3 linked regions of the Mus musculus genome follow. The protein of the gene in region 3 interacts with the protein of the main gene of each other region in a pairwise test. Links are inferred from orthologs where the notes say so. Each region holds a gene or a part of one and is shown on either strand. Other genes may lie near its edges.

The links. The genes of interacting proteins can lie anywhere in the genome.
Region 1: the proteins of Tcap (region 3) and Lamtor5 interact in binary tests that used the Homo sapiens proteins (3 or more experiments, as listed by UniProt). The link is inferred for Mus musculus from reciprocal best matches to the Homo sapiens genes TCAP and LAMTOR5.
Region 2: the proteins of Tcap (region 3) and Trim55 interact in a two-hybrid assay, tested with the Homo sapiens proteins (2 studies listed by BioGRID and IntAct). The link is inferred for Mus musculus from reciprocal best matches to the Homo sapiens genes TCAP and TRIM55.

The regions. Positions count from the first base shown.
Region 1 is NC_000069.6:107,281,841-107,284,585, reverse strand, and holds the end of Lamtor5 (ragulator complex protein LAMTOR5), read right to left. Parts: intron 2,678-2,745; coding exon 2,560-2,677; intron 952-2,559; coding exon 891-951; 3' UTR 504-890; downstream 1-503. UniProt on the Homo sapiens protein: As part of the Ragulator complex it is involved in amino acid sensing and activation of mTORC1, a signaling complex promoting cell growth in response to growth factors, energy levels, and amino acids.
Region 2 is NC_000069.6:19,657,943-19,661,462, reverse strand, and holds part of Trim55 (tripartite motif-containing protein 55), read right to left. Parts: intron 2,336-3,520; coding exon 2,170-2,335; intron 1-2,169. UniProt on the Homo sapiens protein: E3 ubiquitin ligase that plays an important role in regulating cardiac development and contractility, muscle growth, metabolism, and fiber-type differentiation.
Region 3 is NC_000077.6:98,382,483-98,385,466, forward strand, and holds Tcap (telethonin), read left to right. Parts: upstream 1-1,328; 5' UTR 1,329-1,364; coding exon 1,365-1,474; intron 1,475-1,669; coding exon 1,670-2,063; 3' UTR 2,064-2,471; downstream 2,472-2,984. UniProt on the Homo sapiens protein: Muscle assembly regulating factor. Mediates the antiparallel assembly of titin (TTN) molecules at the sarcomeric Z-disk.

The sequences.
Region 1 (2,745 bases), on a different chromosome or scaffold from region 3:
TCCTAGCACTTGGGAGGCAGAGATAGGCAGATCTCTGAGTTTGAGGCTAACGTGGTCTACCAAATTCCAGGACAGCCAGGGCTACACAGAGAAACCCTGTCTCAGAAAAATCAACCAACCAACCAAACAAAGCAAAGCACACACGCCTTCTGTCAGTTAAGTTCTTAAGTTCTGATGGTGACCATGCTAGCCCCTAGGCTTTGGTTACACACAACAACCAGGAGTACCTATCCTATTTTATAATGAGAAATAAGTTTCTGGTCTTACTAAGGACTCAATGATATGTCCTTTGTCACTTAGGTTGAGGGAAATATTTGATCCATCTTCCCTTGCATAAGAACACAGACATTTTAAGACACCGAAAGAGAAACAAGTAGTTTGGGATAGAGATCTTTTAGAGAAAAAAAAAAAAAAAAAAAAACCAAAAAACCCACAATTTGATAACTGAAAAAAGAAAAGTGAGCATTAAGTAGGAATTTTAAAAGACCAGAAATGAACCAAACTTTCCTCAGAACAGGTTTATTGGCCATAATGAAGTTCTATATACAAAGTGACCTAAACCTTAGTGACAAATGCTTTAATTCCAGGATGTATGTGTTTAAAGCAGGAAGACCATACATTTGAAGTCAGCCTGGGCTACATAGTTCTAGGCCATGATGGGCTGTGATCCTGGACTACAGTGACTGTCACCAAAGAGCAGAGTGACAAAAGCCCAAACAATTGCTCCTCTCTAACTGATGTCTTGGTAACTGGCTGTCATATAAATAAGGGAGTCCACATTGGACATTAACTGAATGGCCTATTTCTGGAACTTTAATAGTTTTACAAATGAGCTGAGACAGGCATGACTGAATCCCGGTGAGAGGCCACTGGAGAGCTGACATCAGATGTCAAGAGGCCATTTTGTGCACAGCCACTGTGATGCCATCGTGTTTCTGGATCATAATGTTCCTGAAAAGCCAAAAAGAAAATATTCAGCAAACTCTTAATGCATGTGTCTCAGTGTAAGATTAAATTTATTTAGTTTAAATATATTTATGTTTAGATGACAGCATATTTATCTATATTCTCATACAAAACCAAATATGAACAGTCCCTGTTGACAGGTGTCCGTCACCAACCCCTAGTGCCATAGCCTCTCCATACTTCCCACCCAGAAAGGGGACTACATTCTCAAACCAAGAGCCAAGTCTTCCGCTAAGAAACATGAATAAATAAATAGCACAGATGGGCATGAACAGTTGAGGATTGTGGGCAAATCTAATTATAACATAAAGAAATTAATCCTTTTAATTAAAAAAAATTTTTAAAAAGTAATCCTTAACCCTACTACTCAACATGATTCTGATTTTTATTTTTTCCTGGAGGTTTTGGTGGTATTGTTGGAGTTAGAATCTAGAGCCTTGCACATGCTATCACTAGCCTAGCCTCCTTCCTGGTCCTAATTTTTAGATTAGATTTTTAAAAAATATATGTATGTGTCTGTCCGTGTGTGTCATTATACACACTGGTGCCTGAGAAGGCCAGCGAGTGGTGTTGGTTCCTCTGGAGTTGGAGTTATAAGTGGTTGTGAACTTCCAAATGTGGGTGCTGGGAACTGACACAGGTCCTCTGGGAGAGTGCCATGTGCTTTCAACCACTGAGCCGCCTCCCCAGCTCTTAATTCTTATTTATGTTACTTATTTTGGGGGTCTGTATGTGTGCCACTGCTTGCATGACAACGTCAGGGTGTTTGTCTCCTCAGTCATGTGGGTTCCAGGTATGGAGTTCCAGTCATCAGACTTGGCAGCAAGCACGTCTATTTGCTTAGCCATCTTGCTGGCTCCTGGTTCTAATTTTAATTTGTATATATTTATACATATATCGATATTAATATCTTCTTTTTCCCTTGCCCCAAACTGACCAAAGTATGCATTTTTAAAGGTTCACATACTCTATCTCTGTGCAGGTGTGCACATACAGGTGTGTGCATGTACACACACCTATGTATAGGCACGGAGGTCAGAAGAAGGTGCTGGGTGTCCTCTATTACTGTGCAACTATCCTTTGATGTGTGGTCTTATCCCTGAGCCTGAGCCTCATTTTCTCTGCTACACTGGAGGACAGCCAGCTCCAACAATCCTCCCATCTCTGCCCACCCCCTCGCCCCTGACTGAGGGCTGAGGTTGCAGGTGTTTGTTGTGTGGGTGCTGGGGTACTAGTATATAAGCTCTCATCCTCGGGACTGTGGCTCTTAAGCACTGGCATTTCTCCAGCCCCACAGTTTTGTTTTCTTCCTTTTATCACTTAGCATCTGAATAAAGATCTTTATCTAGGAATATCTTTAAGACCTTACTTTAGGGAATTCTATGCAGCTAATCATTTTTTGTGTTTTTACTGTTTTTCCTTTATTGGAGTGGCAAACTGATAGTTCTTATTTTAATGAAGTTCTGTTCTCATGAGGCCTGGATGTCCAATGGCTCTGTGGTGCATTGACTAATGAACTACCACTGAATGCAGGGGAAAGCCCAATCAAGTTTTTCAGAACAAAAAGAAAGGGGTGTGCTGGTATGTACTCACCCATTATCTGATTCTAAACATACCACAGGGATGTCGGTGGGGTCAGAGGTTAGCCTAGCTGCCTGCTGGGCTAGAACAGATATGACTCCAGCGTGCTCATCCGACAGGGTACCACGGCCTAGAGAATAGTGAGAAGTGTCTAAAAATTAATATAAACCTATAGTTTAGTATCTCCTCCAGAATTAT
Region 2 (3,520 bases), on a different chromosome or scaffold from region 3:
GAGGTATGTGTGGGATATTACTCTTTATCCAAAACCCAGAAAATATAATTAATCCCATCTAAGGACTGAGGCTGGAGCCAGTCATGAGAAATCTGTGAGCTTCTTGATATTGCAAGAAAACTTTGATATATGCTTGGATTTGTGTTGGATGAGGCTCCATAATTTTAACATTATTGATGGAGAACTAGATTCTGTTAAAAACACAAAGAAAACCTAATTATAAGCTATCTATAATAGTATATTGAAGTTGGAGGCTTCTAAACATTGCGTAAGTGGAACAATGAGATAGACACAAATATGTGACATTTGGAACTCAAAATGAATTGTTTGTCTAGTGCAGTTCAGTACTAGTTTTACTTGAGCAATAAATGCAGTAAGTATTCACCTATCCGGTGTATGTATATTTCAATCCTACTATGCTAATGCAGTGTAGATACATGCAAATGCTCACTAGACTGTCGCACAAACTTAAAACTGTAACATATGGCTGGCTTTAGCAGAGACAATGCAACTCTAAAATCCCTGTGTTCTTTTGACCCCAAAAGTATTTTTCTGTTCCTATTTACCATCCTCCTAAACAGGACTTGGAGCCACAAGAAGTGCAGAATGGGGACTAGGGAAATCTGGCTCTCCTCTCCCTTTGACCTAAACTTCTCCAGATTTTTGAGAAAGACATACCAATATAAACCTGAATTTTCCCACATTTGAAAGGAGATGTTTAATAAATCTGGGTGTAAGGCATTTGAAACCTACAGTCTTCTCTACATGTAGAAGGTAGCTTGGAAGCCTATTATTAAACAAGAAGCTACTCTGACCACAGAAGAAAAGGCTGGAAGTCCAACTTCCTGCCCCTCTGCCAATCCCATGGATTTCCAGACCTGTGATGACTGTAGTCAAAAGCAGATACCATACAATTCTACCATGCTGGGCCTTGGGGCTAAGGGGTCAGGGTAAAGAAAATAAAAAGTAAGTTGAAAATAAATAACACCAACGAATACAAATCATGGTTACTGGTTCTAACAGGTGTCACAGAGTTTGACTTCCAAAATGATATCAACTCTGGTCTCTCATATAAAATTGAAATCAATGATTCTAAGTGGAAGAAACTGAGGCATGATGGGCCTACTGACACATGCACACCTTAACCTGCATAGAAGCATAAATTTTAGGCAGCTGCTACATGGTGCAGAGCTGATGAGATACTATAAAGACTGTATTGAGTTAGAGTGAGGAGACCCAGATCTAGTTCCAGGGGTGAAGGACATGTACTACATTCAAAGAATGCTTTGAAGGCCAGCAAGAGGCACAGATTTAAAGTTGTTTTGTAGATGTGTGTCATGATTATGAGTCTCATAGGCAAGAAATTGTTGAGAAAAGGCTTTGAAGAAGGCAAGAGAACATTTATTGATAAACAATAAAAAGGGAGAGTGAAGAGCATCTCACTCTTATCTGCAGTTTGAACTCTGAGTCATCTTTATCAGCTGGCATTTGATCAGCCCCCTAACACTACATATCTTTAGCCACCTCCAAATGTCACAGAGAGTGACCCAGCCCTTCTGCTCTTTTCTCTCATTTTTCTCTGCACACCTCTCTGGGCAACTCCATAACCTTGAAGAGTATGGAATTTGAGACAAACTATGAGACTACTTCCTGTGAGGCCTTCCACTTTCTGTGGGGCCTTCCATTTCCTGTGAGGCCTTCCATTTCTTGTGGGGCCTTCCCCTTCCCGTGAGGCCTTCCACTTCTTGTGGGGCCTTCCATGAGGCCTTCCATTTCCTGGGGGACTTCCACTTCCTGTGGGGCCTTCCCCTTTCTGTGGGGCCTTCCACTTCCTGTGAGACCTTCCCCTTCCTGTGAGGCCTTCCACTTTCTGTGGGGTCTTCCATCTCCTGTGAGGCCTTCCACTTCCTGTGAGGCATTCCACTTCCTGTGGGGCCTTCCATGAGGCCTTCCATTTCCTGTGGGGATTTCCACTTCCTGTGGGGCCTTCCCCTTCCTGTGGGGCCTTCCCCTTCCTGTGAGACCATCCCCTTCCTCTGAGGCCTTCCCCTTCCTGTGAGGCCTTCCACTTCCTGTGGGGCCTTCCATGAGGCTGCTCCCCTCTTTGGTCACATGGAGCTAACTCACTAGTGCTTAAAGTGGGCTGAAGAAAGGAATTGAACTCCCTACCTTCTGCCTCTGGAACACATGAGTCAGGGGAGCCACCTGGCAGTCCTTATGGGCGCCAAAAACCTTGCACAAGGAACAGGTGGGCACTTCACAGTTCAGACAATAGATGTTGATGCGTTCCTCTTCATGCTCTTCACACATGGGCTGGTCCAATTTTTTTTCTGGCCTGGGAGGAGATAAGACGATAAATAGCTATCAACCTCCACCAGGGCAAAGCAGAGGGGTGACAAACTTTGTAAACCCTATTGGTCCCTAACCTCCCAACCGTATCCTGAAGACTCCCAGAGCCCTTCTATTTGTCCGGTGAGAAGTGCTGACAAATCTCCATCTGCTTGAGCACTTGGGAACAAAGACACTGATGTATGACATTCTTCAATTAGCATTTATCTAATTTGATAGTGTGTTCGCATCAGTTCAAAATTATAAAACTGCCCTGTGGAATTCCTAAAAGTTCAACACTAGTCTCTGGCCAGCCATTTGGAACTCACTCCAGCTCTGTGCCCACAGATGAGCTTACAGGTTCCTCACGCGATCTTCCTATGGGTGAAGAAGAGGAAACCACTGATAAAATGCATCTCCATTTTATGTTAGTGGAATCGCTTGGTGCTGCTCCTCCAGCCTATAGCCCCGGAAACCTTTCCGACCTACAAGTCTGAGAATTGAGGGGCCAAGAAGAAACAAAACTAGATAGGTGTGGGTGCAGCCTCCTTACATAAAACCCAGAATATCTGATGGATCCCATATAAAGACAGCCAGGCCAGAGGGCTTTAATGGGTAAGGAGGACACTTGCTACCAAGCCTGATGGTCTGAGTTCACTCCCAGGACCTACATGGTAGAAGGAGAGAACTGAGTGCTGTAAGTTGTCCTCTATGAATAACTATTACACACACAAACACACACACACACACACACACACACACACACACACACACTACAAATGAGTACATGTAAACATTTTAAAGTTACGGCTCAGATTGTTAGAAATTGAAAATAAACCCAAATTCAAACGTTTCCTCATATTCCCAAATATAGCTATTTTGAAGCATCTCACTACAACCACTACATTTTCCCCATTGCCATTGAACTACGTTTCTTAAAAAGCACAGGATTATATGGATAGGAAATCAATTTATCAATTAATGGACAGGATTGCTAAAATCTGGAATAGAACACCGAACTGAGAGTTACTTGTAGGGAGAATTCAAAGTATTAACACATGAAGGTTTTGTTTCAAGTATGTGTGTGGATTGTACATGTACACTGTATAATGTAAATGTATCTATGTGAAACCAATATATATATATATCATTCAGATGTGTAAAGATAGATTGTGAGTCTGCGCAGGTCAGC
Region 3 (2,984 bases):
AGAGGGAGAGAGAGAGAGAGAGCCTGAGCGAGCTAGTCCCCTCCCAGGTGAAGCAGTGGAACTGCCCAGTCCCAGAGTTCATTCCACCGTGGCTAGAAAAGTAGATAAGGGACTGGAGAGATGGCTCAGCAGTTAAGTGCACTGAGTTCAATTCCCAGCAACCACATGGTGGCTCACAACCACCTGTAATGGGATCTGATGCCCTCTTCTGGTGTGTCTGAGACATGACAGTGTACTCATATACTTTAATTAAATAAAATCTTTTTAAAAAGAAAGAAAAGAAAGGAAGGAAGGAAGGAAGGGAGGAAGGAAGGAAGGAAAGAAAGAGAGAGAGAGAGAAAAGGAAGGAAGGAAAAAAAGAAAGGAAGGAAGAAAGGAAGGAAGAAAAAGAAAAAAGGAAGGAAGGAAGGAAGAGAAAGGAAAGAAAGAAAGAAAGAAAGAAAGAAGGAAAAAAAGAAAGAAAGAAAGAAAGGAAGGAAGGAAGGAAGGAAGGAAGGAAGAAAGAGAAAGAAAAGCAGATAAAGGGAGACTTGGAAAGGGGTAGAGACTGCTCCATGATTATATAAAATAGAGCCAGCTTGAGGCTGGTCTGGATCTCCTAACCCTGTTCAATGGGCTTTCTCTGTTTCTGTCTCACAGTGTTTCTCTCCATGCAGGCAGAGGAGAAGGGGCCACCTCCCCCACTCTTACCTCCTTCACCCCGACTGGTGGGATTTAGGAGAACACTTCTCTAATGATTGGCCCTGAGGAATGAAAGCTCACAGACTCATACCCAGAGGTCGGGTGTGGCAGAAGTGTCCTCTCCCCTGCTGGTGTGTTGCTTTCTGTACAGGCAACCCGAAGACTCGGTTATGTGATCCTTCTGGTCAAGGGACCTCACTATGGTATGTGCCCTTGAGCTCAGGAAGGAGAGACGATCCGGGTAGCATGGGGCAGATCGAGGAGGGCATCAGTTCCTGCTTCTCCTGTTCTGTTTACAGACAAGCTGCTGTCCTCCCTGAGCAAGGGGGGAGCAGAGGAAGACAGTGCCAAGGTGGCACGAGGCTGCCCATGTGCCTGGTCCGAGGTGGTGTTTGCAGCATGCCAGACACCCAGAGGTGCTACTCTGAGAACCCAGGTCCCCAACAGAGCATCTTGCAGGCTTTGAAAGCTGACCTCTGACCTGGGAGCAACCAGAATCTGGGTACCCCAACCCCCGCCCCGGACTCAGAGCCCCATCACCACCAGTGAGTCTTGGCTCTGCTTATAGCATCTGACGCCAGAGGGGCTGAAAATAGCCCCTGGAGAAGGGGGAGAGGGGGAAGAAGGGGCTATTTAAAGGGCTCTGGAGGAGCAGGACATAGCAGAGGGAGCAATCAGAAATCATGGCCACTTCAGAGCTGAGCTGCCAAGTGTCTGAGGAGAACCAGGAACGCAGGGAAGCCTTCTGGGCTGAGTGGAAAGACCTGACTCTGTCTACCCGGCCGGAAGAGGGGTGAGTGTGAATCATTGGGAGGCTCTGCCTCTGCTCCCCCAAAGCACCTGCTACATATCAGAGTACAAGCCCCTGAAGTTTCTGGGGCCCCTCCCCTGCTCCAGGGAACTAGCTATGCCAGGGAGACCCCACTTAGCCCAAGACCAGAGAAGAGCTGCCCTCAGTTCACCACCTTTGTCTCCTTTCCACTTTCAGATGCTCCTTGCACGAGGAGGATACACAGAGGCATGAGACCTACCACCGGCAGGGACAGTGTCAGGCGGTGGTACAGCGCTCACCATGGCTGGTGATGCGCCTGGGTATCCTCGGCCGTGGGCTACAGGAATACCAGCTGCCGTACCAGCGGGTGCTGCCCCTACCCATCTTCACGCCCACCAAGGTGGGGGCCTCCAAGGAGGAGCGCGAGGAGACCCCCATCCAGCTTCGGGAGCTGCTGGCCCTGGAGACGGCCCTGGGCGGCCAGTGCGTGGAGCGCCAGGACGTGGCTGAGATCACAAAGCAGCTTCCCCCTGTGGTGCCAGTCAGCAAACCCGGGCCCCTGCGCCGTACCCTGTCTCGATCCATGTCTCAGGAAGCTCAGAGAGGCTGAGATGGACTGTGTGACTCAGACTCCACTGTGTCTGTCTCAGGCTAGGCACTTCCTGGCTAGGACAATGGAGGAGAGCTGCTGGCAGTGGCTGCTTTGTAGTTTGCCCAGAGGTGGGAGCTATGGGAGGAGGGAGCCCGAGGCCAGGATGCCTAGGTGTCCTGAGTCCCCACAGGGAAGGGAGCGAGGATGGCGGGCACTAGGAGTGGAGAGCTGAGCACCCTCAGCCCCAGAAGAAGAGACAAGAGATCCTGGTGAGAGGAGAGGCCCCTGGGAATGGCCTGCTCGGGAACAGATGGACTAGGAGAAGGATGTGCAACGCTCTGGAAAGGAGGGGGATGTGAAGAGGGTGGAAGTGGGCAGGCCCCCAGCACCCTCTGGTAGCACTGCAATAAATGCTCAGCCATGTTCCACGCTTCTCTCTTTCTTTGTGGTTGGGGTGGGCATGAATGTCCACCGTGCACTTCTGGGAACAGCCAAGCATTGGAGCTAAATCTGGCATAACCAGAGGGTACACTCCATGCTTAGGGGTGGGGTACAGGGGCAGAGCTGTAAACAGGGGGAATGTCTGGTCCCCCTTCCTGTGCCACTGCCCAGCCCTGGCTTCATGTCCAGTTCCTGGCACTGGAGCGTGTCTAGCAGGCCAGCTGGCTTCAAGGTTTGTTTAAATGATATCTGTGGAGGAGGTTATGGAAGGGGCTGGCACCAGGGCCGTCCTTGGCTGTGCCTTGGGGTGTGGATGGGGTCAGTGACCCTAAGGCCTGTCAGTTGTAGATCCAGACAGAATCAATCCTTGGCTGGCATCAGGTGTCCCACTGTCCCTGGCCTGGGTGGGAGGACAGGGTTTAAGTTCCTGTCTGTGACCTCTGCAGCTGTTGTGATGATCCCCATCCCAGCCTGGGTGTCTGGCCTTTGGGATAAGGA